4 linked regions of the Oryzias latipes genome follow. The protein of the gene in region 2 purifies or fractionates together with the protein of the main gene of each other region. This does not show direct contact. Links are inferred from orthologs where the notes say so. Each region holds a gene or a part of one and is shown on either strand. Other genes may lie near its edges. The genes, in order: dnmt1, mta2, znf512b and parp1.

Region 1 (7,864 bases), on a different chromosome or scaffold from region 2:
AGGTTTGAAGTAGTTTTCCCTTCTACTAGCCCGCTAGCAACGTTAGCATCACAGTGATGGAACGACATGACATTTGGCGCCAGTTGGGAAGTCCTGATACCCACGCTTTTTTTTATCATTATCTTGGTATCACAGACAATATGTGTAGCTCTGTAAGATTGGCGCCCTGTAACTTGCAATTTCCGGTTCAAATACATGCCATTTGTTTACAGACTGCAGATGCTGGAGGAGGACGGATCTTCAGAGGAGGTAAAAGCTCTTAGTGTAGTTAATCCCAATGTGGGTGTTCTGCTTTGACAACTTTGAATATGCATGCAAAGATGGTTTCATTTAGAGCCCAGGCTTCCAACATATTTTATTATGAGACCATGGATACAAATATGGCTTTTTTTTCTTTAAAAAAAAAAGCTGCCCTGTTATCTTGCTACTGCATACTTTCTTCTTTTGAATGTAAGATGTAGCTACCTATTAAAAAAAATATTTTTTTAACTGTCATGGTAGTTTGTGTGTGTTTTAAGATTTATATTTTTATCTGGAAAACAAACAAAATATATATATTTTTTAGGATCAAGTCAAAGAGAAGCTAAAGTTGGTGCAGGACTTTCTGCATGATGATACTCAAACCCAGTTGACCAGTCTTGAAAAAGAAATGAAAAGTTCTGAGATCTCGAAGGTTTGATACATCCCATTATGGCAACATAATTTAATAATTACCTCTGTTGGTTGGCTGCTTGCTGATTTCTTGTTTGTTTTTCATTTTTAGGAGGTATACATATCAAAAGTAAAGGCCTTATTGGGAAAGGAACTTCATCTGGAGAATGACTTGGAAGTTGGAAAAACAAATGGCTTCTCAAACGGCTCTCATGAAGATGAGCAGGATGAAGAAGCCATGGGCACAGATGATGTCAAATCACCGCCTCCTTCCAAAGGGAAGGCTGGACGCAGGAGCAAGTCCAATGGTGATTCAAAAAGTAGGCCTTTTTTTTTTTTTTTAATTATGCAGTCATGGGTTTTAAAAAATCAGTGTGTTAAAATATAAAATCATCCACTTCTAGAGTCTCCAGCAAGTGCAAGAGTCACCAGGAATAGTGGGAAACAGCCAACTATCTTGTCAATGTTCTCCAAAGTGTGCGTATAAGTTTTATATGTATATATGCATAATTGGAAGCTCCATTTATTCAAAAAAAGTGGTAATGTATAAATATTACATTTGTTTTGCAGTCAAAAGCGCAAGTCTGAGGAAATGAGTGAAGAAAGTGTCAATGGAAAAGATGAAGTGAAGAAAGAGGAGGATGTCGAAGAGGTGCATATTAAGAGGCATCTTTGTGGCCTTCATTGTCTAATATAATTGAGTGTTTTATTGTTTTGCATTGTAGTCTCAAGAGAAGAAGCGCCTCAAAGTGGAATCTGATGAAAAGTAACTCATTTTTCCTGATCTTTTTGTGTTGACTTTTTGATGTCGGATAAACTGATTTACGCTTCTCCTGCTGTAGTTCTGCTGCAGAAGATTGTAAGAATGACACAACCAAGCCAGTATCTGCTGCAAAGGTATTTAATCGATAGAACTGCTCTTTTATGTCTTTTGTTTTTCCAACATCTGTGATTCCAAACACACAAACTATTTATACATTTTTTTTTATACATTTTTTTGTTGTCTTTCTAGACCCCACCTCCCAAATGTCAAGATTGCCGACAGTTTTTGGATGACTCAGATCTGAAGTTCTTTCAAGGAGATCCTGATAATGCTGTGAGAATTTCCTACCCATTTAATATATAGTGGGTGCACACACATTTTTATTTTGCCTTATGGGTTTCTTTCCCTTTTTCAGCTTGATGAACCTGAGATGTTAACAGATGAGCGTCTCTCCCTCTTTGACTCAAACGAGGATGGGTTTGAGAGCTACGATGATCTGCCACAGCACAGAATCACAAATTTCAGGTTTGCAGTTGTTTAAGTGTTACAATGACGCCAGAGATATTTACAATGTTTGCACCACATTCTCCTTTTCTTAGCTTTATTGTTAATTTTTTCATGAATAATGGCATATTTTACCTTTCAGCGTGTATGATAAACGCGGTCATCTGTGTCCGTTTGACTCCGGACTGATTGAGAAGAACGTGGAGCTTTACTTCAGCTGTGCCGTTAAACCCATCTACGATGACAATCCTTGCTTGGATGGTAAGAAATGCTTCAGTTCAAGCACTGATAAAAGATTTTATTTTGTTTCTATTGTTGCTTTATCCATCTTCTTTTGATGCAAAATCAGGTGGAGTTCCTGCAAAGAAGCTTGGGCCGATCAACGCCTGGTGGATCACTGGGTTTGATGGAGGAGAAAAGGCTCTAATTGGTTTCACAACAGGTAACGCAGTTGTTTTCACGTCTAAAGTTTAATTTCCAGTGTTTCTCAGACTAATGTCAACTCTCTCTGTGCAGCGTTTGCGGATTACATCTTGATGCAGCCCAGCGAGGAGTATGCCCCCATTTTCGCACTGATGCAGGAAAAGATCTATATGAGCAAGATAGTGGTAGAATTCCTCCAGAAAAACCCAGATGTTACTTATGAAGACCTCCTCAACAAAATTGAGGTGGTGTTTTTCAGTTAAAGTTTTTCTTTTTAACACCCCCCCCCCCCCCCCCCCCCCCTTATCAAATGTGAATCTTGACAGACTATCTTCTTTTTCTACTTTCAGACAACAGTTCCTCCTGCAGGACTAAACTTCAACTGTTTCACTGAAGACACTCTGCTGCGCCACGCCCAGTTTGTGGTGGAACAGGTGGAGAGCTACGACGAGGCTGGCGACTCGGATGAGCAGCCCATCATCGTCACTCCCTGCATGAGAGACCTCATCAAACTCGCAGGAGTCACTCTGGGGAAAAGGTACAGTTAATACATTCAGACGCTTGTAAATAAATTTATATTTAAGAATTTTTAAGTTCATAATTAAGTGACATCACCTCAAAGTTAAAAAGAAAAAAGGGTCTCTCCTTTTGGTGGGATACTTAATTGCCCGACTATTGTATAATAAAGTAGAACAGTTTGGGATTATGACCATGTATCCTTAAAAACACTTAATTGTATTTAGATTGAACCCTTTTTAAATTTTATTTTTTAATTTTCTGCACGTCAGTCTTTGTCTCCCTGATGTCTAACATGTTTTTAACACTTCCTAATGCAGCACGCTGCTGTACTGGTAGGTGGTTCTTGCTGTGATTGCATCTTTATTCTGCTATGTGGTGTTTTTCTGTCAAACATTTAGAAAGTGAACAGAGTTCACACTGAGACACATACATGGTTTTTAAACTATTTTCATTTTCAGTTATTTTGATTTATATTGTGGTCTTTCAGTGTGATTTGCTTTTGTAAAGTTTTGTTGGAATAGTTTGGGATGAAACAAAATTATTTTAAGTCAAAGGTCAGAAATGTAAAAAAAAATGAAACTATCATGAAACTTGAAGAAAATGTTTCTTAAGAACTTCCTTTCTTTTTTTATCTTTTATGTTTATTTGTGTTTTGAGGTAAATTAATAGGCCTAGAGTTGGCTTTATTTTCAAGGTAATAGAGTAATTTTTAAAAAAAAGTCTTTCCAAAATAAAATTATTTCACGTTTTATACTTTCAAAATTTTAAAAGCCGTGAATTATCACTAGATTTATTTCTCTGACAAATTTTCCGAGGTAAAGAGTTTCAAAGAAAAAAAATCCTGTTTAAGTGTTAATATTTCATCTTTAAAGTTTTTTTCCATAGTTCTCCAAAGGTCAAAGGTTAAGTTTTGTTTGCTTGTACTGCTGCATGGCCTGATGCTGTGGTGTGTTTACGGCCAGGAGCTTCTTAGTTCCATCCCTCACCATACGATCCTGTGTTTGTGCTGCTCCAAAACCCGCCTCTCCTCTAAACGCTGACTCTGTTTTGTTGATAGGAGAGCTGCCAGAAGACAAGCCATCCGTCACCCGACGAAGATCGAGAAGGACAGCAAAGGACCGACGAAGGCAACAACCACTAAACTGGTCTACCAGATCTTCGATGCCTTCTTCTCTGACCAGATAGAGCAGAACGATAAAGAGAGTGCGCTCAAAAGGCAGCGTTGTGGCGTTTGTGAAGTGAGTTGGTTATTGTGTTCTTTGGTTTGTTTGTTTTTTGTGAAGTTACAACTCCAAATCTAACAAACTGGAATCTTTTTAGGTTTGCCAGTCTCCTGATTGCGGCAAATGTACCGCCTGCAAAGATATGATCAAGTTTGGAGGAAGCGGTCGAAGCAAGCAAGCCTGTAAACAGAGAAGGTGAGGATGTCTGAGGATCTCTTTGTGGGAAGTCCAAGTCATCACAAACGTTTTGATGGGAAAAAAGTTCTGGTTCAGTTTAACTTTGCCGTATATGCCGCTACAATCATTGCTGCAGGATAAATATTTTTTTTTACAGAAATCCTCGTGTCTCTTCTGCTTCAACTCTTCATACTTTTGTTGTGGTTGCGACAGAGAAATCCGATCTATTAAACTCTCTGATGGCCTTCTTTTCATGCTGTTTAGATGCCCTAATCTTGCTGTAAAAGAGGCTGAAGATGATGAGATTGTTGAGGAAGATGTTTTGGTAGAAAAGGCAAAGAAGGACGCCAACACCAAGAAGAAGAAACAAACTCAGTGCAAGCTTGCATGGATCGGAGAGCCTATACTGGTATGTCTTTTAGTTTTTTTGATTGATTTACTTAAGCCACAAATGTAACTGACAATGATCTGTTTGGCTTTAGTCGGAGGGGAAGAAACACTACTACAAGAAAGTGTCCGTCAATGATGAGGTTTTGGAAGTGGGAGACTGCGTTTCGGTTTTATCTGATGATCCATCCGTTCCTCTGTATCTGGCCAGGTACAAGAAAGAAAAGGTGTACTTTGGTGATGTTTTGTTTTACAGAGGAGTAACCTCCGTTCGTGTATTGTCTCTCAGGATCACTTCAATGTGGGAGGGTTCCCACGGGAAGACCTTCCATGCTCACTGGTTCCTTCGAGGGATTCACACAGCGCTCGGAGAATCCTCTGATCCACTGGAGCTCGTCGTCGTGGATGAATGCGAGGACATGCTGCTCAGTTATGTCCATGAAAAAGTGAACGTTATGTACAAAGCTCCCTCCAACAACTGGTTCATGGAGGTCAGTGGATCAAAGCTGATCAAAAGTTTCCAGATTCATGCTGTCATTTTCAGAAACGTTCACATGTGACGTTTAACGTTTTAGGGTGGAATGGATGTTGACCTCAAGGTGGTTGAGGATGATGGGAAGAGTTTTTTCTACCAGTTTTGGTATGACACAGAGTTTGCCCGATTTGAGACTCCTCCCAAGACTTCAGAACCAGAGGACTGCAAGTACAGGTGACTGATGTTCTGATGTTTGTGATGTTCTTTCTTTGATGCGATGGCTAAACTTGACTCTTCCTCTTCTTTTCTTTTACCTTCAGGTTCTGTGGCAGCTGTGCTCGCATTAAAGAGAGAGCAGAGCAGGAAGTGCCTCAAGCACTCGAACCTCTAGAGAATGAAAGCGGCGACACAAAGGTTCTGTATGCGCTGGCTTGCTTCAAAGGCGAGCAGTTTAAAATTGGAGATGGAGTTTACCTGCCTCCTGACTCCTTCAGTTTCAAGTGAGTGTTGTGTATTTCAAATGGTTTTCTTATGTACAGGGCACAAAATTAAATTGGATTATTGTTTTCCACCTTATATTTTCTGCGTTTAGTATGAAGCCTGCTAGCCCAGTGAAGCGCTCCCACAGGAAGGAGGACGTGGATGAAGATCTGTATCCCGAGTACTACCGGAAGTCCTCAGACTACATCAAAGGGTCAAACCTGGATGCTCCGGAGCCTTTCCGTGTCGGCCGCATCAAGGAGATCTTCTGTCATCGCCGTAGCAACGGAAAATCTGACACTGCAGACGTCAAACTGACACTTTACAAGTTCTACAGGTAGGAAAAGGAATTGAAAATCTGTTACTGAAATTTTTTTTATATAGATATATGTATTAAAGAAATAAACTACTGTTTTTTTTGTTTTTCCTCACCCCCCAGACCAGAAAACACTCACAAAGGTGTTAAAGCGAGTTACCATGCTGACATTAACCAGCTCTACTGGAGTGATGAAGAAGTGACTGTCCGCATGTCTGAAGTTCTGGGCCGCTGTCAAATAGAATATGCAGAAGACCTGATTGAATCGGTCCAAGACTATTCCAGCGGTGGACCAGACCGCTTCTATTTTCTGGAGGTACCGTTAGGATTACTTTTTGTACCATAATTCAAGAACTTGCTGTTCAGCTTCTTTATAGGTGACTGGTTGTATGATTGTGTACGCAGGTGAAAATGGAACCAATGTTTAATGTTTGTTTCCCTCACAGGCCTACAATGCAAGGTCTAAAAGCTTTGAGGATCCTCCAAATCACGCCCGGTCTGCAGTTCATAAAGGAAAAGGAAAGGGCAAAGGAAAAGGTTGGTTTGAACTCTGACATGTAGAAATGAATCACCTCTGAGATCACTGAAACCTGGTCTCTATCCCATCAGGAAAAGGCAAAGGGAAGGCTTCACAGGAACAGCAGGACTCCAACGTTGGCCCACAGATGCCTAAAGTTCCAAAATATCGCACCCTTGATGTTTTCTCTGGCTGTGGGGGCCTGTCCGAGGGTTTCCATCAAGCCGGTAATAAATCCATGTCAGAATGTTTGGGGGTCTGGAATGTCTTTTTTTTTCGTTTTCTGATCAATTATGCAAAAAATTAGCTTTGTATTTAAGTAAGCAGTGAATCTTTTGGAAAATGGAGGACTTCATGTGTGGAATAAAACACACAGTTGTTTATTTTGCAGTGCATTGCTCAGACTCAATCTGCTGCTTTCAGGCATCTCGGAGTCACTGTGGGCCATCGAGATGTGGGAGCCGGCAGCTCAGGCCTTCAGGCTCAACAACCCCGGCACCACAGTCTTCACAGAGGACTGCAACGTCCTGCTGAAGCTGGTCATGTCCGGGGAGAAGACCAATTCTCTGGGTCAGAAGCTGCCGCAGAAGGGAGACGTGGAGATGCTTTGTGGGGGGCCTCCATGTCAAGGCTTCAGTGGAATGAATCGCTTCAACTCTCGCACTTACTCCAAGTTCAAGAACTCGCTTGTGGTTTCCTATCTGAGGTATTTCTTGTCAGGATGTTGTTGCTGTTTTACAGTTGAACTGACTGTTAAAATGATTTTATTTGCCCCCCCCCCCCCCCCCCCCCCCTAGTTACTGTGATTACTACAGACCCAAGTTCTTCTTGCTGGAGAATGTGAGGAACTTTGTTTCCTTCAAGAACTCCATGGTTCTGAAGCTGACTCTGCGCTGCCTTGTGCGGATGGGCTACCAGTGTACCTTTGGTGTTCTTCAGGTGAGACTGACCTTCAGACTGCGGCCTAGACTGTTCCTACGGGTCTTCTGCATGTGTGAAGCTCTTATACTGCACCTAAGCACGAGTCCCTGAGGTGACGTTTGTTCTGCTCCTCAGGCGGGTCAGTATGGCGTTGCCCAAACACGCCGCAGAGCTATCATCCTGGCTGCTGCTCCAGGAGAGAAGCTGCCTCGCTACCCTGAACCGCTGCACGTGTTTGCGCCCAGAGCCTGCTCTCTGAGCGTGGTGGTGGATGAAAAGAGATACGTCAGTAATGTTACCCGGTAAAGAAAACCCTATAAAATAAAACAGTGAAGCTGTCTGCTTCACTGACTTCAGATGAAAGAAAAATATGTCTAACACTTCTGGGATTATTTTTGTTTTTAACATCAGAGGTAACGGGGGCATCTACAGAACCATCACAGTCAGAGACAGCATGTCCGACCTCCCCGAGATTCGCAATGGTGCATCTGCCCTGGAGATTTCCTAC
Region 2 (7,864 bases):
AGGAAGCTTTTGTTACTACAAGCTTTTTCCAAACAGCATTTTATTTGTCTGCTCCTGATTCACAACAATTTGAATAAAGAGACTCAGAAATGTCGTCCATCTTTAGAAAAATGTCACAAGTGCATGTTAAAAACACAATTTTTGAGTGGGTCTTTAATAAAAAAAATTTTGCCCTCAATGAGAATCCATCCATATTCTCAAACTGCTATATCCCTTTTGGGGTCACGGGGTTGCTGGAGCCAACCCAGCTAGTGTTGTGCGAATGCGGGGTCCACCCTAAACAGGTCGCCATGCAATCTCTCACACACACCTAGGGGCAATTTGGAAACCAATTAACACATGAAGCATGTTTTTGGACAGTGGGAGGAAGCCGGAGACCCCGGAGAAAGCCCACCCATGCATGAGGAGAACATGCATGGAGGACACAGCCGGGAGTTAAAACGGGGATCTCTCTGTGTGAGTCGAGGGCGCTAACCACTGCTCCACCAGGCAGCTCTGGAGGATAATCTGTGCCTGGATTGTGTTGTCTCAGTGTTGTAGGACGCAGGTGTGTCATAGAGGAAATCCACCAATCAGCATAACACAGGCAGACACAACATCCAATGAACATACTGAGACTTATCAACAACAGATTGTAACCCCCCCCCCCCCCCCATTCAAAGAACTGGATTATTGGGGCACCTATTGACTTCTGGTTCAAGGATACAGGGTAATACATTTTGATTCCTAATACCTTAAGACACAGAGAATCCAGATGGAAAATGTGCATTTTTATGGAAGGAAAGAAACAGTAAAATTAACCTTTAATGAATTTTCACAAAAAAAAGTTTTATTGAATCTTTGGTAAAACATCTACAAAAAGTTTCAAACCTTCTTTTTACAATAGATTGAATGTAGGACAATTCCCTTATCTTTTCCCTTAGTTAAGTTAAGGGAAACATAAACCTTTAAAAAAAACAGATGCCAACTTTACAATTGTTATGAAATTACGTTCATAAGCCAATGTTGGCCAAAATACAATCACAATTTCTTTATTTTAAATAAACTTTAGAAACACGTGAAAAATGATAATAGCTTATTAATTTAATCTGAAATACAGCACTGTAATAATAAAACATCTGGATATGCTTCTTATGAGAACTAAAGGGATTCTGTATATTTAAGTAGGCAGCCAGTTTGTTCAAATGCAATAATATTACCAGAGAGTTGCCCCTGTTCTAATCCTGACTTTAATTTTGAGATGAAGTGGAATAAAAACTGTTTATTTCAACAATTGGAAACAAAATATGCACATCCAGTTGTGTCTCTGCAGTGTCCCACTTTAGTCAGCAAATAAAACAAATAAAGAACCTTTTGTTTGGAGTGAAACTGCTTTGTTATCTGGACTAGAGACCCCGGCCTTGTTTAGCAGACATCTTTGTCTTTGGTTATCTGCATTGGGAATTTCAAACCAATCAGAAGCTACAAGAGCACGGGAGTTCATAAAAAGCAATACATTGATCCTTTCTCTATTCTAAAATAACTAGATGATATTGTAGCTAAAGAATTGAGAGAAATTAAACTCCTTTGAGTCCTACACAACTTCTAAATTTGCCGTCTGTTTCCAAATTTGCCTCAAACTACGAAGTACCAAATCTTGTAGTTCCTCAAAAAGCTATTGGAGTCCAAAAGGAAGCAGTTTCTCATTGGTTCCCATGTATAAAAGTCCAATCTCACACAACATTAAATGTATATAAGGCCTGCATATGATTAAAAGACAATATATTTGTGTAAGGAAAGCTCTTTCTGTCACACTTACCCCCAGCTCATTAATAATGTACCCGTATGCCAGCTAGTTAGAACAAAGCCCAAACTGGATTAGGCCGTAACGCTAATCGCTGACTCGGATGCAACAAAAACACGTCTTCTGTGGTTAACTGTTCTCAACGTTTCTTTTTTACTCATTCTTCCTCCTCATTTTTTAATGCTTTTGTTTTTTTGTTTTTACAAACTGAGTTGGACCAAAGTACGCTTTGAAGGGTAACGACTTCTTTCTGACAGTTTTTATGTTTGGACGTCGTTGTTTTGCTTCATCAGATTTGGAACATGGGCTGTATGTACAGCTACGCTGACAGCAGCTGAGGTTCATGTTTAAAATGTTGCTGTTGTTAAAAACAAAAACTCACGTTTATATTCAAACTTGTAAAATTGGCCAAAAACACCTACTTCACAGATCCTTTAGTGTATCTATGCTTTTGATTAGTAAAACCTACATAAAGATGTATTTTATAGGATTTTTCATCTACAATGAAATACAAAGCAAAACTTCATATCAGATTTATTAATCACTGTTTTTCTACCATTTAATATTCATCTTTCTTTTGTTGTTTTTTGTTTATGGTGCTTTATGACTTTTTATGTTTACATATACCTTTTATTTCAAGAACCATAGGTTCTACTCGTGTTGATGAAAGGGGCTCTAAAAATAAAGTGATTGGTTCTCAAGGATCAAATATATAGACACCAGTTGGTCATAAAACCACATTTTCTGTTTATGTTAATTCTACTCTGGATAGCAAATCTAAGCACACATTTGCTTGGTTTCTGGCATAACATAGATGTAGATGTGGTGGGATGAAACTATTTTTGCAGCATATAGTACAATTAATGAGCAATACGGTACAATACGGCAGCCGTGGTGCAGCGGTAGGGGGGTCGATTCCCGCCTTGCACGCCCATGAGTCGATGTGTCCTTGGGCAAGACGCTGAACCCCCCCTTGCCTCTGGTGGTAGGCGGGCGCCTGTGTTCTGGACACCAGTGTGTGAATGTTGTGTGTGAATGGGTGAATGGGTCTGTGACTGTAAAGCGCTTTGGGCCTTTACTACTACCTCAATTTGAATTTACCATCAATGTAAATATTTTCAGTTAATTAAATGTAAAAGGCATGAACTCTACTCATTTTACTCAGTTTTAATAGTAGTTTTACTCATTACATTTTTTTTCAACGTTAACTCATTCCTGCTTCCACAGGTTTCCTTCTCTAAATATTACAATGTAAATGTTCGTTTTGATTTTCTGCCTATATATATATATATATTTGTGCTATTTACTGTACTGTTTTTAAAAACTTTGGTGCAAGTTTGTTATAAGTTTTGTTTCCTGTTTCAGACTATGTGTACTTTGAGAACTCCTCCAGTAACCCTTATCTGATTCGGAGAATAGAAGAACTCAATAAGGTTAGTACGCTTCTCAAACCGCATTCTAAACGTGATTCTCTGTTCTTTTAAACATTATCGTTGTGTTTGAAAGCTTCTTCATGATACTGCCAAGTGCCAACATGATCAGGTCTAAACCTACGTGTTTGGTGCAATATCAGCTTGCTACTTCAAATTTGTCACTATGGTTTTTTGTACGGGTTCGAACAAGAAAGGCGGCAGACCTATAAAATGTATTATATCATTATATGAAGCGTCTGAGTGTCTTCTGAAAACCGTCTTTTTTTATTCCAGGTTTAGTATTTGTTTCTTTTCAAGAGAGCTCAGGAATAGTTCTGCTGAAATCATGTCAGGTTTCTAGTCATTGAACGTTGCTGAAGAGGTGTGATATGAGGCGACCACCATCTTTTTCTGTTGGTGTGTGACATGGATGTTTTCTCTTTCTTGCTCTTCCAAACGATCCATCATTCATTCTGTGTTTTGTTTTTTGCTTTCCACTTTGCTGTTCTTACACATTTTGACAAAAGTCACAATAGTTACGAAAGAGTTTGGCTTAAGGGGGTGTGGTGGAAATGTGTTGTATAAAAACTGGCCTACACACATGCATGCATGTGTGCGATAGGACATCTTGCATTTTATCTGGTTGGATTTAACATTAGGTGTAAAAACTTTAGTGTAAAAACAGTATAAACATTCTGATTGTGTTTATATGTGTGATGTCAGAATCAGAACGCAGAGAGAATGCTCCCATAAGGTTTAAAGTGAGCCCAAGTGTGAGTCTTTGGACTTGTGCTTGTGTGAAAAGTATCAAACACAAAGAAAACTCAACATTTGTGTTCTTGGGTACAAGATCATATGATAACTGGATAAGTTCCTATGTTTGTTTTGTTTTTTGCACCAAGGATCTGGTACTTCATGATGGATCAGACCTAAATTGTTTTATTCCTTACATACAGACGGCCAATGGGAACGTTGAAGCAAAAGTGGTGTGTCTGTTCAGAAGACGAGACATCTCAGGCAACCTCAATACTCTGGCTGACAGTAATGCAAGTGAGTACCGATGGTTCCAGCAAAACAAGCTGCATGCCCTTTGAAAATGTTCCAGGTTTAAAACGGTGTTGGGGAAAGTCGCACTAATATCAGACACAACTTTACATGTGTTCCTGAAGCCGATGTGGATCGTTGCTGTTTGATATTTTAGTATACTTATAGCAACTTTAGGGCTTTAGAACAATCTACGTTTCCATCTCATCAGTAGCTACGGTGGGCCAAGTGTCCTACCAACAGGACACCAGATGCTTCTCCACCTCCAGCACCAGCCGGAAACACCAGGCATGCATGCAGCGAGCCGTACAGAGCTGTCTAAGGCAGATGTGTTTGTTTTTACAGGAGAGTTTGAGGAAGAGTCCAACCAGCCCAGCCTGGCGGAACAGCAGAAGCACCAGCTCAAACACAGGGAACTCTTCCTGTCCCGACAGTTTGAATCCCTACCTGCCACTCACATACGGTGCATGCTTGATACCAGAACTCTTGATGAAGTGTGTGTGTGTGTGTGTGTGTGTGTGTGTGCACACTTGTGCAGAGTTTTGTGTGTAGATAAATGGCTATAATTTACGTTGCTATAAAGGAGTATAATGCAGTCATATTTAGTATTTTCAGTTTTTTTTTTCTATTTCATTGCTGTGTTTAATGTTTATTGTATTTGTCAAGCGAGTAGAGACAACGGTTTACTATAGAGGTAAACTATTTTTCTAGTGTAGCGTTAACAACAGTCTGTCAGTTACTTGTGTTGTGATCTTTTCATTTGATTTGAGAATCCAAAAAAAACTAGACTAATTATATTATAATCATTATTTTGCTTTAACATTCAGATGACATGAAGTCAGTTTAATTGTAAATAAGTGAAACGCTGTTTGATGATTTTCCAATCAAAACTCAGGACATATTTGAACATTTTGTATTTTTAATACTGATCTTGTGGTTTTAGTGGCAGGTTTTTCTTTCAAAGATTTTTTAAAAATTTGCACATTTTAAAGTTTTTGCTTTATCTGTCAGTAAATTCAGCCGTAAGTATTAAAGAGGATGTGCGACCAAGCCTGGAATGCAGTTACCGGTATCTTCACTAGAATTAACTTTCTTCATTTGTTGACTGTGGAGCACAGAAAGAATCCACTTGGAAAATGTTGTTATTCTTGGAAATGAACCGTTTTCTATTTCTTCCGTTTTCCTATCAGTTCTAATATTTGTGTATTTATTTACTGTCTCTTTAGAGGAAAATGTAACGTGACGCTTCTCAATGAAACTGATGTCCTGGCTGGTTACTTGGAGAAAGAAGTAAGAACCTGTGTGATTGTCATGATCTCATTCATTATATGTTTAGTCTCCAATCAATGGAGCCTCGGCCCATTTGACGGAGAGCATAGACAGGCTGCATGTGTGAGACGAACCCGAATCCTTTCAGCTGATGTGCCGATGTCTTGTGTCCAGGACTGCTTCTTCTACTCGTTGGTGTTTGACCCAGTACAGAAGACGCTGTTGGCAGACCAGGGGGAAATTCGTGTAGGCTCCAAATACCAGGCAGAGATTCCCGACATGCTAGCTGAAGGTTAGCAGGCCACCAAAACCTCACGACTGTTGACTCTAGTCAGCACATTTTCAGTAAACACGACTCTCAGAATTCAATACGGCTGTTCTTCATTTCAGATGAAACGGATAGCCGAGTCCAGGAGAAGCTAGAGACTAAGGTGTGGGACCCCGACAACCAGCTCAAAGACCCACAGATTGACCAGTTCTTGGTAGTTGCCAGGTAATGAACCATTTGACTCACAGGGACACCAGTATTTATAAAACTCTTCTATGTCTTTGTTAGAGAAAACACAGAAACTGCTACCATTTTAGTTGTTGCTAATTGCATTCTTTGGTTTATCTTTTATTTGTTTCGTTCTATGAGTCTGAACTGAGAGTTTGCAACTGTGATAAGACAGAAATGTCACCACTGTACACATCCAAGACATTAGAAAGGCCATGACCAGGAGTATTATGTACACCATGTCATTCATGATAACAGATACGTTTTGGTGGCTGACTGTCATTCTGAAGCAGATTGGTTAAATTAAAAAACTAGGTGTTGTTTTGTGATGCTCTGCATAGTTTGACTTAATGTCTTTTTTTATATTTGGAGAGGTTTCCTCCACATATTAGCTAATTCAAAAACAGGATGACTAAGTTTAAAAGCAAACAGTTGTATTTAGCTTTTATAATGAAGAGGTTCAAAGTAAGTCTTGTCATTTCCTTATCTTAAGACTTTTGAACCTCATATTATGTCAGTATTTCTCCTTAAAAAGCTTCATAACTTATAATCAGTACTTAATGACTGTGCACATGTTCATGATACTTTTTCATTGTTTGTGTTTCTCTTACACAACTCTTGTGAAGCTAGAAAAGAATAATTTCTAAACCATTATTGGAAAACAGGCCATTAATGATGCCATAAACTAGGGCTGCACAATATGAGGAAAACTCACCATATTAGTAACAATATTGCGATAACTTGGAATACATGAACAAACACCAAAACCACCAAAACACAATTTCCATTTGACCCTCGTCTCCATAGGAGGCGAACATCCTGCATTAAAAGGCTCCATCTGATTGGTCAAATGCATAAATGGATTTATTTGAGTCGTTAAATCCTTCCAGCTGCCATAAGATGGTTTTAGCACATTTAGGATAACCATTTATTGCAATTTTCGCCATCTTTTGCGATATGCGTATTGCACAGCTTGATCTTGCAATAACGATAAATATGGGATTTATTGTGGAGGCCTACCAGAAATGTAAAAAAATATATATATTTATCATCGGCCACAAACAGACCTGAGTAAAAAAAGGATCTTTAAGTTGTGGTAGGCTTTAAACTCATGATAAAGCATCAACACAACTAGAAAACCTGAAGCTTCAAACTGACAAAGTATCCGAGTACCACGTGCAAAAGAATTTTAATGTACGTGTTTGGTTGAGGAAGCAGTGAATAAAGTGTGATGAATCCAGAAAGCCCTGCTTTTCTTAGTTGTGTTTTGTATCCAGAACTTACCGCCGTGTGTTTTTGACCTCCTCCTGTCAGGGCTGTTGGGACTTTTGCTCGAGCTCTGGACTGTAGCAGTTCAATCCGTCAGCCCAGCCTCCACATGAGCGCGGCTGCAGCTTCCAGAGACATCACACTGGTGAGTGGATGTGACGCCGCTGCTCCGTCCTCCGCTGCAAATTTGAGCCGCATCGTCACAGATCCTCTTTTGACTCGCTGCTCATGAAGTGTAGAGATTCAGAAACTCTTTGTGTTTTCTGGTCCTTTCTCTCCATTTAGTTTGCAGTAAAACGTTGTAAAACTGATTCTCTACATTCTCTGTCGTAGTTTCATGCCATGGATACACTGCAGAAGAACAACTACGACCTGGCCAAGGCCATGTCCACGCTGGTGCCCCAGGGCGGCCCGGTTCTGTGTCGTGATGAGATGGAGGAATGGAGCGCCTCTGAGGCCATGCTGTTTGAAGAGGCTCTGGAGAAATACGGCAAAGACTTCAACGACATCCGCCAAGACTTTGTGAGCGTTTTTCTTCTCTTTGTCACCATAAAGACGTATAGTGGAAACTAAGATAAGCTAAGAATGATC
Region 3 (7,864 bases), on a different chromosome or scaffold from region 2:
TCATCTCAGCAAGGAACCAGTGTTTCCTAAATTCTATTACAGTTGACTACTCATTGAAGTGTCGTGCCATTCTGATATTTCTTGTTGTCTCTTCAGGTGTTGTCAGAGGATTTTCCAGCAGCAGTAAGAAAAAGGGAACCAAGCGAGGCGGAGAGGAAGGACAGGCAGGAAAAAACCCCACTTCTCCAGCCCAAGGAGAAGGAGCAAGTAAAGGTAAAGGAGAAGGAGCAGAGCAAAGAAAAAGCAGCACAAACTCTGATCCAGGAAGAAGACTTTGAAAGGACTCCTAGTGGAAGAGTAAGGCGGCGGTCAGCACAGGTAGCAGTGTTCCACCTGCAGGAGATAGCAGAGGACGAGCTGGCGAAAGACTGGGGCACAAAGCGCCGCATTAAGGATGACCTGGTGCCTGACAGCAAGAGGGTAAGCATGGAGTTGGTGGTTCACAATTCCTAAATGTAACGACTGAAGGCAAAAAGACATACCCAATAAACAGTTCAGAATAGAATAGAATACAACTTTCTTGATCCAACAACAGGGAAATTATATAAATGTGAACATTGTCTCTAAAAAAAAGCATCTTTAGAAAAACCTTGTAGTCATGTGGTGCTAACAGAATCTTCTTCTTTTTACAGCTAAACTACACTCGACCCGGTCTGCCCAGCTTCAGCCCAGAACTTCTAGAGTCCTGGAAGAACCAAGTCAAGGAAAAAGGCTTCATCTGCTGCTCAAATGCCGTGAGAGCATCTTCATGATTTAGATTTAGGTTTAGATTTAGATTTAGATTAAGATTTGAAGTAAGATTTAGATTTGGATTTAGATTTAGATTTAGATTTAGATTTAGAATAATATTTGGATCAAGATTCAGATATGGATTTATTTGAAGCAGAAACAACAGAATAAAAAATACATTCATTTCCAAACAAAAAAAGACTAAATAAAGATATGCAGATTATATGAACTTCAAAACAGCATTTTCATTACAATCATACTGACTAAGAAAATTGAGTATACTTTAAGTATTAAAAACTTTCTCTCCGTTTCAGCTTGAAAGGGGGTGGGCAGAAGAAACCTTATATAATCCCACCCCTGTCCAGTTATCATTCTATCCCCATTAGGTTGCTACTTACAGTTTATAGTTTTTGAGTAGAATATGCACAATATTTATACACATGCCCACACTGTACATTTTAACAAGCACTACATGTTCGTAAACGCTAGGGCTCCTATAGAAATGCAGACTTGAGTTGATTTCCTCTTGTTTATGTCACCTGTCTCAGAACTGTGAAGCAGTTTATTCCAGTGTGTCCGGGTTGAAGGCTCACCTTGCCAACTGCAGCCAGGTACACGCCCACAACTACAGCAAATCTATCAGCCAGCTTACAGATTTCCATGGTGACACTTTGTATCATTCACAATCTGCGCACAAACAGTTTGCCACTGACATGTATATTTTTAAGCCTGAAGTTTTTTTCTAGGTTTGGATTTTGTATGCTGCTGTCATTTTAGCAATTATATTTAAGCCTCTACAAATAGCAACTCTATTTTTAATGTATCTCTATTTTGCAAGTTTTAATAGATAAAAACATAAAAAAGGAAAAATTCTTTAAAAAATGTTTTTTTAGCTATCTTTCAGTCATGTGTATTTTCCTTATTGAATTTGAGAGGAATATGAGCAGATGTCAGAACACCTCCATACTTTTGGTGTTTTCCAGGGTGCCGGTGAGATGGGCAAGTACACCTGTCTGATCTGTCAGAAGGAGTTTAGCTCAGAGAGTGGTGTCAAGTACCACATAAGTAAAACACACTCACAGGTGGGTCCCCCCCCCCCCCCCCCCATTAGTGGAAACCTCATAGCCATAAAACAGGCACCGATGTCTTCCATTACACAAACTATTTTTCCATCATCCTTTGCTGAGTGAACACGTCTGCATTGAAATGGTTGCTTTTGTTTTTATTGAAAGTGATTGAAAGGGTTTGGTTGGACATGCTTTAAACACAGCTTAAGTGAGATCATCTTAATGTCATCTATCGGAAAAAGCATACTCAGTTGTGTTTGTGTCTAACTTTATAGTGTTTATTTAAAAAAGAAGTAACAGATTATGTAATTGAATAAAAAAAAAGCACAAAACATATGTTCTTCATTTATTCATTCATGTATTTATTTATTTGTGGGTCAAAGAAGTTAGACCACATAACACCACAACGCTGCCATTGCAATACTTGCTTTTTGTTAAAATGTTGCTCCTTACTTTTAAGTCCCTGGCAGGTACGGCACCATCTTACCTCTCCAGTCTGCTTTTAAAATATTCCCCCCTAAAGTCCTTATGTTCCACCGACCAGTTTGTGTTAATGGTTCCCAGAACCAAATGCAAGTTTTGGGGGAACCGAGCATTTGCTGGGTTGCCTCCTAAACTATGGAATGATTCCATAGTTCCAAACTCTCCAAGGCAATTGTTCCTCCATTTTAGCGCTTTAGCATCAGCCTAGTCCTAGTTTTAATCTCTTTTAAATTGGTTTTATGCTTTATATTCTTTTCTATTTATGTCTCTACTATGTTTTTAATTTGCTTGTTTAATTTGCTGTTAATTCTTTTATGCTTTGTTCTCCATGTGTACAGCACTTTGGGTCTCCTTGGCTGGCGGTGGAAGGTGCTTTATAAATAAATAAATGAATGAATGAATGTTTTTACTACGGGTAATTTCATTTCTGAGCAATTTGTTATAGTAAGTCGTTATTCTGGGGTTTTTGTATCATTAACAATGTTGATAAAGCAGTACAAATAGTAAATTTATTAATAATATAGCACAGAGTGAGATACTAATAGAAGTACTGAAGTGTTCTGTAGCTCTTCTAGAATCAAATTGGAAAAAATGTCACTATTGGCTGAACGCTCTGACCTAAAAGTGTGAGGAAGCCACTGCTGTCAGCTGGCTTTTTACTAAACAGTGCTGTGAAAAAGGTGTAAACTTTACTAGTTCATCATTTCCTAAACTAGTTATCTTGTGAAAACCCAAACATAAAGAATGAAAATCAAGTTTTTTGAAAAAAAATGATCAAATATAATTGATAACGCATATTCTACAATTTTTCCTTTATACAAAGTTTTTCTTTGAAATGCTAACTTATAATGCAACACACAAGCTTCTGGTTTAAATGTATTATCTTTAGAGTGACTTTTTTCTGTAGGATTTACATCATCATCATTTTCAATATATTATTCTGATTAATGTCTTCCTTTTAAGAGTGTTCAAACACGTTTTTATAATATTTTAATGATCTCATCGTGCATTGAATTCTTTCTCTTCCCTCTAAGAACTGGTTTCGTACTGCAGCCAACCATGTGGTGTCTGGTAACAAGAGCAAAGTGGAGGAAAATAATGGGATCAGAGCTGAAGTGAGGAACGGTGCCACCACTGGTAAGAAGAGAGGGCGCAAACCTAAAGAGCGCCCCAGTGTGGACGCTCCTCCACAAACAGATATCGAAGCACTTACTCAGAATACTGTCCTAACTGTGGCCCCTCCCTCTGGACCAGCACAGTCCTCCGCCTTGGTTCCCAACTGTACGGACGGTGACTACCCATGCCACAACAGACAGCCTGTCCCCTCAGCCCCCAGACGAAGCAAACCTAAAAGGCCCTTTTTTGAGTAGTTCTGGAGCCAGCGAGGAGCTTCAAACATTGCAAATGACGGGAAACCTCTCGAACTCCACAGAAACTCTGGGCTTAAGAAGAAACTCAAACCCACCAATAAGAAAGAAACAAATGTTAGTCCTTAAATTCTAATTCAAGACTCCGGATTTCGTGTTTGCACTGGTATGAACAATATTCACAAAGGTTTTTTCCTCCATTCCACTATTGTCTCCTTTCTAAGGCTTTCAGTTTTTATTTTTGTTTTCCCAGCAGGGGGGGTAATCGCAAATCAAATCCAGAACTTAAACATGCTAGTTTTTTGTTTTGTTATTTTTAACAATCATAGTTCTCTATATTAAAGAAGACACAAGTTTTCTCTGTGAGATACATGTTGTGCTTGAGAGGTTTTTAAAAATAGAAATTTTATCAGCATGAAGAAGCCATTTATCGAAAGCTAGTGTTGTCACAGATAGACTTGTCTGTGTACATAAACAGTAAATATATCTTTGTGTATATTTAAAGCAAATATTCATTTTTCATTTTCAAGTTGAGCAGATTCAGTTTGCAGTCTAAAGTTTTTTATGGGCGTAAGTGACATTTTGTTCCTTGTTTCTTCTTTTAACCTGCTTATCTATTTGGGTTAACATGTTGGCCAGTTTTAAATCACGGTTCACTCTTTAAAACTACTTTGACAGGACGAATAAGATTGTCTGCCTTACAGATTGTTTCCTCAGATCTTTTTTATTGAAACTAACAAACTGAATCCCCCCCAAAAAACGATTCAAAACTCTTAAATATATACATTTTTTAAGTTATGCTTAATGCAATATTTTAAACAGAATCTCCGTCTATATTTGGCCCAGGAAAGGTAAATATTAGACAAAGGGAAGAACTTTGTGTGAAACTTATCTAAGACTATTGCAGCACAATCACATCATGTGACACCACTTTAAATAGGGCCAAGCTTTGGCAACTGCTTTAGCTTACATCTAAGCTGAAGAGAGGATTTTAAAATATATATATATCTTTTATAGAGCATTTGAGAAAAATACATCTTTATTAAAGAAAAAGAAAAAAAACTTCTGATTAAAATTCACAGAAAGTAATGCATATGCATGAGTTCCTGGAAGCTCAAAGTTATTGCCTTGCACTTTAACACTCGAGCTTTCATGCTTGCCTTTTTGCACTCCAAGAATATACAACTGAAGTGCAGGAATGGGAATATTTTTTAACTCCAATGAAAGCTGGAGTTAGGGGAAAAAAAATCAGCACAGTTAACACTTTGAGTCCAGGATGACAGTAACATTTACAACATCAGAAAGCCATAACTGGTTGTTAGTGTGCTGCCACTAACTGTTAGATTAGCCTCAGATTTGCTTTAAAAAAATTGAAAAAAGTTAAATACATTTTATGACGTGGAATATTTTCACTTGGTAATGGTAAACTACTTCATTTTGTAGTTGAAATTATAATAGAAATTCCATAAGAATTTAATATATTATTGTTTGTATCAATTCAAAAATACTAAGTATAAGACTTAAATCTGGACTCTTTAAATAAAAAAAACTGTGGTGTGGGGATATTCTGGTGAAAATATAAAGGTGCTTTACTAGCCTTTCTACCTTAAAGACCTGAAACAACTCACGCACATCCACCAATCCATTTTGCCATGTTCTTCGTGTTTGCAAGTTGTCTGAATTTTGCACCAAAACGTCATGTCATCATGAAAACAGTGAAGAACTGAACTGTTTAGGTGTTCCTAAAACCACAAGGAGCTGATAGTCAGAAGACAGTGAAGAAACATTTTGTTTTAAAAGTAATTTTGAGTCCTTCCTAAGCTGTAAACTTTTAAAACATAAACCAGAGATCCAGTATGATTTTTTTTTCTTCCTAATATGAGGATGGAGTTCATCCAGTCGGGAATGGCTGTGCACTTGTTTAGGGATGGACCTTTATCTTCTGTGGAGTTTCAGCTGAGGAAGCATCATTCAGACGAGCACTGATTGGTCTGTGGACCTGTTCAAAATGAGTCGTTGGAACCTTCTGTGCGTTTGTGAGTATGTGTGTGTATCTCAGACAGTTAGCACCTTTGTAATGGGTGAATGTTAAAATGGTGACACTTGTTAAGTGTTAAGCTGTAGCACAGAATCACTTCATTAGCTGCTTATTTCTTGTCTCATCGATGGCGTCACATTAACCTGGTTTACCTAAAAAGCTTTGGTGTTGCAATATGATAGTTTAGCACTGCTTTAACAGTGAGTATTTTATATTTTATCACTCCCTTTACTATCTGTCTTCCTATTAAGTGGAGAACGCATACCTATTCCGCAGTGTGAACTAACTGCAACATGTTTAGAGAGTACAGCAATACACCATATTTAGCTGTTTTTGTTGGCTTGCTACAATTTTGATATTGATGTGTCTTCTCAGACCTGTATGGCTTTTTTTTATTACTCTCCTACTTTAACTTTTATTGCTTTGAAAAATGCTTTTTACAAGTTAAAATTCTACAGAAATATTGGGGGGAAAAAGTTTGTAGATTTCAAAGAACCTTGCAAGCCCATGTGTTGGCATACACTGTTATTTGATCCATTTTTGGTGATGCACATAAATTGAGCTTTTTTTCATTTCAGGATGGTGGTCACAGATTCTTTTCTCAATATCTATTGAATATTGGACAACAAGGCATATGTATGTGTGTTTGTTTCTGTATTTAGTGCACTTATTATAACATGAAATAGGCTTGAAATAGGAGTGTCGTTGGAGCTTTCTAGTTACCTGGACTGTGTGTGGTGTGACTTTTGTACCTGGGGAAACAGGAAGCTCAAATGTCTTCCCAATGTCAGCAATGTTATTTCCAAAACCAAGGTTTAATCCTTAGCAACCCCCTTAGACAACCTAAGAATTTTAACCTTTTATTTAAATAACAGTGGTTTGTTTTGTATGCTACCTACTTGAAAAGCAGGAGATGACATCCAGCTATTGTGGTGAAACCTTTGAGAGTTTTACGAGATGTTATTGCAGCTCTAAACTATTTATGATACATAGAAGATACAATGAGACTAATTATGTAATAAAGATATTCCAAATCTGATATCAAGCTGTACAGTATCTAACATTGAGGAATCACATCCTCCTATGCGTCTGAACTGTTACAAATTTTTCCCAAACTTGTTGTATTATCTGTGCATTATTATTCCTCAACTAATTAATAAAAGTTTGTTGACTAAATGAGGCTCTTTATTATTTGTTTTTACATTATTTATTTATTTAAAAAAAAACATGATTTTTTTGGTATCCTGTATTGAATGCAGGTTTTTTAGTGTGTGAACATTAGCTGTAAATCATGTCAATTTACCAAAAATGTCTGTTTCAGTAAACATACTTCAAATCGTTGCATGAAGTATAACAAGCCAAAGATACATATGTGCTAAATGAACTTAATGGTAAGTGTATAGTAAAGGAAATGATTAGAGACACAAAGAAATATTTCCAATTTGATGACTTGTTTCATCATTACTTAAACACAAATAAAAAAAGATCTAGTGTTATCTTGTGTGAAAGGATGGCATTAGTTTAAATGTATAGTAAAGTAGAACTTAAGCATACTGAACTTAAATAAACAACATCAAATGAGAACATTTGAGAAATATATCAAAAGTGCCTGCAATAAAAGAACACACAACTGTGTGGGGGTCAGACTTCAAAAAGATTCTACTGCTGAGATTGCAATTTTTTTTCATCTGAAACTCAATTTTGGTTGTTGTGGTAATTTATTTTATTATTATTTATTCTTGAGCAAGTAGGGGATTGCAGTTTTCCAACTAGCAAACCACAGTCTTTTTCCTCATTTCTTCAAAGTGTAATCTGGTTTATTGGCTGTTCATGACACGGTAGCATATTGTCTTGGTAACTACAGTAATTAGCTAGCAATTATGTCATCAAAATAATTTACATACGTACGAACAAAATTTACCTTAAATTTCACATTTTTTTCGCATAGTGTCAGCACTAAGATATTCAGCATTCAATATTCAAAAATATTTCTGCAAACTTGTTACTAAACATTAATAGCCAGTGTTCCGATCTGCACGTGGCTTGCTAAATGGACCCTGTATGAGTAATATTCAGTTTTTACTGTAAACTTTTTTTAAGCGGAGGGGGAGGGGACTCCTGAATTCTGGAACTTGAAGTCCAATAGTGGGCTATGGCCACACACAGCTCGAATTTTCATG
Region 4 (8,398 bases), on a different chromosome or scaffold from region 2:
GTAAGCAGGGCAATGCTGGGAAGTACAGCAGGCTTGGGGGGCGCCCATCAGGACGCCTGACACTAGCCGAGGTCGTATTTGGGCTGGTCCAAGCCCGACAAAAGGAGAAAATAAGAGAAACCAACAGTAACTTTGGTCTGATTTCCTGCAAACTGAAGTGTTGAGAGGCACGCAGAGGAGAGGACTCATCCAGGCAGGGCTGTTCCTGCATGTTTACAGGGTGGATCAAATCCTCCAAGGATCTTGCAGAGTTTATTCCAGGTTTTGTCCATCAACCCAACGAGTTAGGAGAAGAACATGTTGGAAAAGTCTATTTCTAAACTTACCAAGAGGAGATTGGAAATGGAACGTTTCCTAGAATGGGCCTTTCTCTTCCACTGACTTCTTGTGAAGTACAGCAAATATTAGGGGGATCTCTGCTTTTTCTAGCTTTCTTGTTGCCATTTTTACAGTAAAACAAAAGCCAACATGTCTTTTTTCATATCTTGTATTGCAAGGTATATCAAACATTTGAGCCAAAAACTAGAATACCTCTAAAAAACAGCTAAATCACACTCTATAGTTCAGGGTTCTGCAACCTTTAGCGCTCAAAGAGCCATTTGTTACAGTTTCTAACAGCCATAAACCCAGCAAGAGCTGCAAAGTCACACTCTACTGTTTAGAAAAATGTTCTAAATTTATATTTTTGCGGTCATTAAGTCATTTGTTTATTTATTCATAAAATGTAGCTTTGAAACATTTACAATTATTGAATTATAACAGTGTTATATTACCATTGCACAGACAAGTTCCTTTCAAAATAAAATGTATCCTGTGTCAAATAAGACCCTGCTGCAGCGATTATACTTTAATACATTTGTCTCTGAAAGACAACTAGGCTTAAGAAAAGAATGTGAGTTTGAACTTATTCTAAAAAGAAACCACTCTGACATAAATCAGATCTTTTACTATTTAATTGCTTGTATTTGACATGTTTGCATTATGGAGTGAACGTGTCAAGGGCTCTTGATTTAGTATAACGTAGTGGTTAAAACGTACATTTTTCTCATCTAAGTTCACCTCAGTTTAAAAATCTAAAAATAAATGACCAACAACCCTATTATTTCTTCAAAATGTTAGCATTTTTCTTCAAAGCAAAAGAACCACAATGAAGGGATAAAAGAGCAGCATGTGGCTCTGGAGCCACAGGTTGCAGACCCCTGTTCTATTTCATCACACATGAGTTGGTTTTTGTCTGTATCTTCCATACGAACTCTATAAATGCAACCGTGTTGGTGTTTTAGACATCATGTGCTGTTCATTTTACATGTATACCATGCTTTTATACATTTTTTACAGAAATGTTTAATTGTATGATTGCCGTCCATCAAATAAACACATTTTCTGTCTGTTTTTGATACTTAAAATAATTTAAAAAACGATTTAATACTTATTGCATTCTACTTTTATCACACTAGTCATACAATTTAAGTTTTATTGGTTAAACGTACCCATTACATGGAATGGAAACCTATAATTTTGAAAGTGAAGGATTTACTTTCTTTTCAGACTGCAAGGATCGACTTCTCTTCATTCGATTGTTTTAGACTGAAGCGAGCGCGGGTACTCTGTGAGGTATCCAAATATCGTCTATTGTGAAAAATGGATCGCTTGACATTTTTTTATGAAACATTTCAAGTTTGAATACTTTTTGTTGAACATATTTTAGAGGAGTGTTGTTTATGCGGTTGAGTGGCTCCTGAGGAATGACCAAGAGGACAAATAAATATACATAAATAATAATATTTCGTTTTTGTTTTTTTAAATAAATTTATAAATAAATATATTTCAGTTGATCAAATCTTAAGTTCTTTCTTTAATTCTTCCAATCGACAAAACTGAACAAAAAAATTACCATTGTTCTAAAAAACATCTAAGGATAATAATACGAAAACAATAGCCTAGCTCTTCTTATTAAGGTCAGACTTAAAAACATAAACATACAGAAGAAGTTGCATTATGAAGAAAAACTTGTAACAAAAAGTAGAAGTATACATGCACACAAAAAATGTAATATTTGATTTATTTCCACGATTGACAGTTTATTCCAACAGTTATAGGATAATAATTATGTTGTCCATCTGATTTTTTTCAATGAAAAAAGTGATTTACATACCAAGAGATCTTCACAAAATCATATTTCTTCTTGTACGTCTTACTTTTTTGTCTAATTTACTTTAAACTATTTACTTTCTGAAAATTAGATATATAGATATGGATGGATGGATGGATGGATGGATGGATGGATGGATGGATAGATAGATAGATAGATAGATAGATAGATAGATAGATAGATAGATAGATAGATAGATAGATAGATAGATAGATAGATAGATAGATAGATAGATAGATAGATAGATAGATAGATAGATAGATAGATAGATAGATAGATAGATAGATAGATAGATAGATAGATAGATAGATAGATAGATAGATAGATAGATAGATAGATAGATAGATAGATAGATAGATAGGTAGATAGATAGGTAGATAGATAAAAGAAAACGAAAGAAAAGGTAGAATGGTAGTAAGTAAATGAAAGCAGAAAGAAAAGAAGCTTCCTGCAGAAAAGCCAATTGTCATTTTCTTTTAATGATGTCCAAGGAATATCAGAAGCCGGCTGTTTTCTAAATTTCTAAATAAGAGCTTGTGAGTATGGATAACTTAAACAATAAATATGATTTTCATAACAACAACAAAAAACATAAACTTCCATTCTACAGGCTCTGCATGCAAAGATGTTTTGAAAGATATGCTGAAGGAATGGAAGTATGTAACCCCGTTTCTTAGGTTCGGTTAGCTGTGATTTCTGTAGCTATCTGGATAAATATGCCCGCATCTATCAGATATTTGTGGACATGCGCCCAGGTTCAGCGTCCATTGGCAACTAACGCTTGTATCGGAGGTTTGACAAAAAAGAGTCAGAGTAAGCCCTCTTTACTGGATCTTGCTCGCTGCTCTTCGCGTTGTCCCTGTTGTTGCTCCTCGTGCTCTGGTGGAGAAACTTTGTCGTCTTCGGTTCAGCTTTTTAAGGATAAAGGGAAGCTATGGCCGACTCCCAGAATGACAAGCTGTTCCGAGCAGAGTACGCCAAAAGCGGCCAGGCTTCGTGCAAGAAATGCAAGGAGAAAATCGCGAAGGACTCGCTGAGGATGGCCATCGTGGTGCAGGTAAGCAGCGGCGGTCCAAGGAAACACCCGGGAGCGGAATTATTCCTACAGACTCACTTGTTTACCAAGCAGCTTCAGCAGATGTAAAAAAAAAATAAAAGTGTGTTTTTGAAAATGTGATATATAGGCCTGAGTAGTTCCGGTTTCGTCTGGACTGGTTTGGGCCCTCGTTAGCATTTATGGCTGCTAAATCTTCCGCACAAAGAGCCGCAGAGATGCTCCAAATAAATGCACTTTCCGGCATTCAAGCAGAAATGTGAGGAAAAATCACTGCTGCCTCTCAGTCTGACTCAGTCTTGGTGATTCTATCGCTTGTCTTTCGGGGGAACGTGTACCGCTCACTACTTTCTTTACTTCATTCGCTTTTTCCTTTTATTTATTCATTTAGTATTTTGTCTACCACAGGCTTCCGTTTCAGCAGATGGATTTGAAATACTAAACTTTGCATAATTAATTATTATTCTACAAGCAATTAATGCAAGTAGAATTTATATTTTTGGAAAAATACGTTGACATTCAAGTAAATTAATATGCAGGTAAAAAAATTATTATCTATAATCCAGTAAATTGTATAAAACTAATTTCTAATGCAAATTTAAAAATTAGGATGAAAAATGTAAATATCAATCACAGGTATTTATAAAAAAAAAATAGATCATATCTAGACTGATTGCTTTTATTGTCAAAAATTTTATATCAAAAGCACAGAGTAAAAATTGGCACCAACTAAACTTTAAAAAAAAAAAAATATATATATATATATATATATATATATATATTTAAATCATTTGTATTCAGATTTATATTTGTAAATTTCCCATCCTTCAGACTGATCAATTGATGGTTATTGATATTATTAAATAAACAGTTAAAATGTTTAATTTAAGGCGAGCAATTTAAATCTAAACGTAAGGAATAAAATGTAAAAATAATAATTAAACACATATATAAACAAAACTTTTATTACAGTTTGTATTTGTTTGTGGAATTAGAAAGATGTTCAAGTTTTTATTTGAAGGTATTTTTTATGATTTAAATAAAAACAAAATTGCGCTTTTGTTTTGGCGAGTCACTACAGCTAAAATGTTAAAGATAATTTGAAAAGCCTCTTATTTTTCTTAAACTGTACAGAAAAATTGAGAAAAGTCATTTTTAAAAGGAGCAGGACATGGCGACAATAGTACAATTATTTTTTTCAAAGGGTTAGTTTTTTCCTCCCATTTCACCTTCAAAAAATATTACGGTATTGCTAAATTATTTTACATCCTTTACTCGTCTCATAAAAATGTTTTTTGTCTGTTCTTTGTTCAACTTTTCAACTATCTTGTTCAATTCACCACCAAACTACACTGGAGCTTTCAGATGATCTGATATGAGCAGCAAACCCATCATTTTTTTCCAGAATCATCCAAACCCGGCAGATACAGACAGACTGAAAACTATAACTCTGCAGCTGAATGTGTTCACGCCTATGTTTACTCTGTGTCCCGCAGTCCCCCATGTTCGACGGGAAGGTCCCTCACTGGCATCACTTCTCCTGCTTCTGGCAGCGAGCCTCGGTGCAGTCCACGGCCGATGTCGGCGGGTTTTCGGATCTCCGCTGGGCGGACCAGGAAGCTGTCAAAAAAGCCATAGAAAGTGGTGGAGTGGCCGGAACAGGTCTGTGCTTGTCTGAGCTGTTTGTGCACACGGGAAATGAATTGACGTTTATCAGCGTGGTGAATGTTAGTCATCGGAAAGTCGCTTTTGTTTACTTTTTGTAGGTTGTTGAAAATTCTGACTTAAAGCACAGCGGGGTAAATTGAGGTCTCCATCTTGCAGGAAAGGGAAACTCTGGTGGTGCGGCTAAAGGAGAAAAGACGCTGAACGACTTTGCGGTGGAGTACGCCAAATCAAACCGCAGCACGTGCAAAGGATGTCAGCAGAAAATAGAAAAGGTTTGCTGCAGCTTCGTTTAAACAGTTCATTAACGGAAAGCACGCCTGTGACCTCTGACCTCTCCTCCAGGATCAGATTCGTGTGTCTAAGAAAGTGGTGGATGCAGAGAAGCCTCAGCTGGGCCTGATCGACCGCTGGTACCACACTGCATGTTTTGTGAGCCGCAGAGAGGAGCTGGCTTTCAAACCTGATTACAGCGCTGCTCAGCTGAAGGGATTCAATGTGCTGCGGGCAGAAGACAAGGAGGAGCTGAAGAAGAGGCTTCCTGCTGTAAAAACTGAGGGGTGAGGAGTAACAAAAACTATATATATATATATATATATATATATATATATATATATATATATATATATATATATATATATATATATATATATATATATATATATAAAAGTTTGACTAAGAGCTTTGACTCAGCTCTCACAGACTTGGTTTGGTCTAGAAGTTCTCTCATCTCCTCTGTTGTTTCCACTTAAAATCTCTGCCTCTCCCATCGACCTGCAGCACAGAAAAATGGCCTTAAAGGCGTCCCTGAAAGCCGTCATGGTGTATGCATACAGGAAGGGGTTCACAGCAGAGTTGGCGTGGGACAGGATGATGGTGGTGAGCAGCAGCTCCAGCGGAACGGGGCACTTTGGGCAAAGCAGGAGGAAGCAGTTGATCACATGGAGCGGAATCCAGCAGATTGTGAAGAGAAAAAGAACGAGGAAGAGCGACGTGGCCATCTTCATCTCCTTGCGCATGGTGGCTGCCGTCCTGCCCTGTCGCTCCCATCCTTCACCTTTCTCAGTCGCGATGCGCCTCATCTGCTGCTTCACCGTGAGGAAGATCTGGGCGTAGATGAGGAACATGATGAGCAGAGGTGCGAGCACGCAAGCGAAGAAGTTGAAGTAGACCATGTAGGTCATGTCCACCACCAGGACGAAGAAGCAGTAGCTGGAATCTGGCGGTCTCTTGTGCCAGCCCATCAGGGGGACCAAGCCGATGAGGGAGGCCAGCAGCCACGTGCCGAGGATCACCATCAGGGCGTTCCGAGGCGTCATCAGGACGCCGTAACGCAGCGGCATGAAGATGGCGACATAACGCTCCACAGCCACTGCCAGCAGGCTGAAGATGGAGCTCTGGGTGAACATTATCAGCACGCTGAGCATTAGCAGACACAGGTAGAAGTTGTAGCGCGGTAGACCGACGTCGGTCAGGATGGCACAGGGAATGGCAATGGTTCCCACACAGATGTCTGCTACCGCCAGCGAGACCAAGAAGTAGTTGGTGACGGTGCGAAGCTTACGGTTGAGACCCACAGCAGCACAGACCAGGAGGTTCCCCAAGGTGGAGCACAAGGCGATCACGAGCTCGGCCACCATGTATGGCACATTTGGGTGCATCACCGGGTCAGCTGGTGGCGCAGAAGGGGAGGAGGTGGTGGCGGAGAGCCGGTTGGTGAAGTTGCGGGGATACTGAAAAAAGAACTGAAGCCAGGAGTTGCTGGTTTGTTGGAAAACAATAAGTGGCACAGTTTCATTCTCCATAGCTCTCCTGCAAAAGAGCAAATTTCAGATGTAAAATTCATGTTAACATCCAAACGTCTCACCAATCTGCTCCACAGACCTATCAAGGATTCATCATCAACCCCCCCCACCCAGAAAACCAGACACCCCTCTGTCCTTTACTTCATGTCAGCCGTTGTCTTGATGCTTTGTCCTCCAGATGGTCATTTATGGTATGGAGGTGTCACAGGAGCTGCTCTGGCCCCCGGCCCCTGGGAGCGTTCAGACGTGTACCAGCTTGCTTGTTTGTGTCCGTTTGCTGCAGAGACCCTCACGAGTCTACTCCATGAAGAAAGGTGTCACACGCAGGCTTGTTTGTTCCTCATCATGGCCGTCACCTTCATCCCTGTGCGCCTTATTTGGGTTCCTAATGGGATGTTTTCTCATCATCTTGTTTGGCTTGGTCGAAAAACGAATGGACTGGTTTAGGGCAGCAACCTGGGAGGTAACTTCTTATTTAGGCAAAACACCTGACTCATTCACACAGACGAGACTCTTAACTTCCTGATGAAGCTGAAGTAGGTTCACGTCCCACAGAATCTACTGGTCAGGTTCTACCAGACCCCAGCTGGTACCCTTTTTTCGTCAAAAATGATTCTGCAACAGAAAAACTGGATCTTCTCTTCTTATCAACCTTGGTTCTATTACTTCAGGAGTTTAAAGATTCCACTCAATGATTCAACCCCCTGAAGAAGTGGAAAGCCAAAAAAAAAAACAGGATGAAGTTGGGTTCTGGCTCCAAACTGGGAGCCAGAACCCAGAACAGTTTTCCACCGTTCTGTAAATGGAGGTCCAGGACACTGTCAGACTACAAAATAGTTTCACCTGCAGGGGAGAAATGCCTCACTCTTTATGCTTTCTATTTCTTTTTTCTTAGTATTTTTTGTTCTGTAACTATGATAATAATTACATTTGCAGAAAACGTCCAGGCGACGAGTTGGACGGAGTTTCAAAGAAGCTGAAGCAAGAAGAGGAGGAAGAGAATAAACAGTTGGTGGAGAATTTAAAGGTGCTTTTTTTATGTTCAAGATTAATTTTGTTTGTTTTCTTGTTAATAGATTGATTGTGTTGTTGTGGTTGCAGAATCAAAGTCAGCTAATTTGGGGGATTAAGGACAAACTCAGGAAATACTGTTCAACCAACGACATGAAGGAGCTGCTGATTGCAAACGGTCAGGAAGTTCCTTCTGGGGAGTCCAACGTAAGAAAAAGTCACAAATGAAGAATCCTATGCTGCTTAAGCCAAAGTCTCTGGTGACTCACTGCCGGTTTTGAACTCAGGTGGTCGACAGAGTGGCTGACGGTATGGCCTTCGGGGCTCTGGAGGCCTGTAACGAGTGCCAAGGTCAACTGGTGTTTAAAGGGGATGCGTATTACTGCACAGGAGACATCTCAGCCTGGACTAAGTGCGTGTTCAAAACTGCAACACCCCTGCGCAAAGACTGGATCATCCCGAAGGTGTGTCCCTCACGTGAGCCTGCATGGATCTCTAGGGCCGTGGATCGTTACTCAGGTGGCGATCCGATTCACGATTCAAGAGAAACGATTCAGAGATTGAACCACAATTCTTACTATTTAGTTATTAAAATTAAATAATATTAATTATTTAATTTCATACGATTTATGATACAATAAGATATATGATAAAAAAACTATCATACATCTTTATACTGCATGTATGAAAAATAAAATAATGTGTATTTAA

What was found.
Region 1: the proteins of mta2 (region 2) and dnmt1 purify together in Homo sapiens (affinity purification with western blotting; 3 studies listed by BioGRID and IntAct, with this or other methods). This does not show direct contact. The link is inferred for Oryzias latipes from reciprocal best matches to the Homo sapiens genes MTA2 and DNMT1.
Region 3: the proteins of mta2 (region 2) and znf512b purify together in Homo sapiens (affinity purification with mass spectrometry; 3 studies listed by BioGRID and IntAct, with this or other methods). This does not show direct contact. The link is inferred for Oryzias latipes from reciprocal best matches to the Homo sapiens genes MTA2 and ZNF512B.
Region 4: the proteins of mta2 (region 2) and parp1 purify together in Homo sapiens (affinity purification with mass spectrometry; 3 studies listed by BioGRID and IntAct, with this or other methods). This does not show direct contact. The link is inferred for Oryzias latipes from reciprocal best matches to the Homo sapiens genes MTA2 and PARP1.

What each region holds. Positions count from the first base shown.
Region 1 is NC_019866.2:8,445,583-8,453,446, forward strand, and holds part of dnmt1 (DNA (cytosine-5)-methyltransferase 1), read left to right. Parts: intron 1-212; coding exon 213-249; intron 250-565; coding exon 566-673; intron 674-763; coding exon 764-971; intron 972-1,055; coding exon 1,056-1,128; intron 1,129-1,221; coding exon 1,222-1,303; intron 1,304-1,376; coding exon 1,377-1,417; intron 1,418-1,493; coding exon 1,494-1,548; intron 1,549-1,663; coding exon 1,664-1,747; intron 1,748-1,829; coding exon 1,830-1,939; intron 1,940-2,060; coding exon 2,061-2,179; intron 2,180-2,267; coding exon 2,268-2,360; intron 2,361-2,434; coding exon 2,435-2,586; intron 2,587-2,691; coding exon 2,692-2,879; intron 2,880-3,177; coding exon 3,178-3,192; intron 3,193-3,917; coding exon 3,918-4,098; intron 4,099-4,180; coding exon 4,181-4,278; intron 4,279-4,524; coding exon 4,525-4,669; intron 4,670-4,742; coding exon 4,743-4,858; intron 4,859-4,936; coding exon 4,937-5,138; intron 5,139-5,222; coding exon 5,223-5,356; and 18 more. UniProt on the Homo sapiens protein: Methylates CpG residues. Preferentially methylates hemimethylated DNA. Associates with DNA replication sites in S phase maintaining the methylation pattern in the newly synthesized strand, that is essential for epigenetic inheritance.
Region 2 is NC_019876.2:29,083,230-29,091,093, forward strand, and holds part of mta2 (metastasis-associated protein MTA2), read left to right. Parts: intron 1-3,148; coding exon 3,149-3,216; intron 3,217-4,151; coding exon 4,152-4,245; intron 4,246-4,584; coding exon 4,585-4,702; intron 4,703-5,465; coding exon 5,466-5,529; intron 5,530-5,682; coding exon 5,683-5,800; intron 5,801-5,898; coding exon 5,899-6,001; intron 6,002-7,318; coding exon 7,319-7,418; intron 7,419-7,606; coding exon 7,607-7,795; intron 7,796-7,864. UniProt on the Homo sapiens protein: May function as a transcriptional coregulator. Acts as a component of the histone deacetylase NuRD complex which participates in the remodeling of chromatin.
Region 3 is NC_019865.2:15,571,451-15,579,314, forward strand, and holds the end of znf512b (zinc finger protein 512B), read left to right. Parts: intron 1-96; coding exon 97-420; intron 421-632; coding exon 633-734; intron 735-1,277; coding exon 1,278-1,340; intron 1,341-1,712; coding exon 1,713-1,811; intron 1,812-3,313; coding exon 3,314-3,649; 3' UTR 3,650-6,860; downstream 6,861-7,864. UniProt on the Homo sapiens protein: Involved in transcriptional regulation by repressing gene expression. Associates with the nucleosome remodeling and histone deacetylase (NuRD) complex, which promotes transcriptional repression by histone deacetylation and nucleosome remodeling.
Region 4 is NC_019882.2:7,702,628-7,711,025, forward strand, and holds the start of parp1 (poly [ADP-ribose] polymerase 1), read left to right. Parts: upstream 1-2,976; 5' UTR 2,977-3,086; coding exon 3,087-3,209; intron 3,210-4,702; coding exon 4,703-4,868; intron 4,869-5,030; coding exon 5,031-5,146; intron 5,147-5,216; coding exon 5,217-5,431; intron 5,432-7,612; coding exon 7,613-7,703; intron 7,704-7,777; coding exon 7,778-7,894; intron 7,895-7,974; coding exon 7,975-8,151; intron 8,152-8,398. Other genes in the region: adenylate cyclase type 8-like, read left to right, coding at 1-164. UniProt on the Homo sapiens protein: Poly-ADP-ribosyltransferase that mediates poly-ADP-ribosylation of proteins and plays a key role in DNA repair.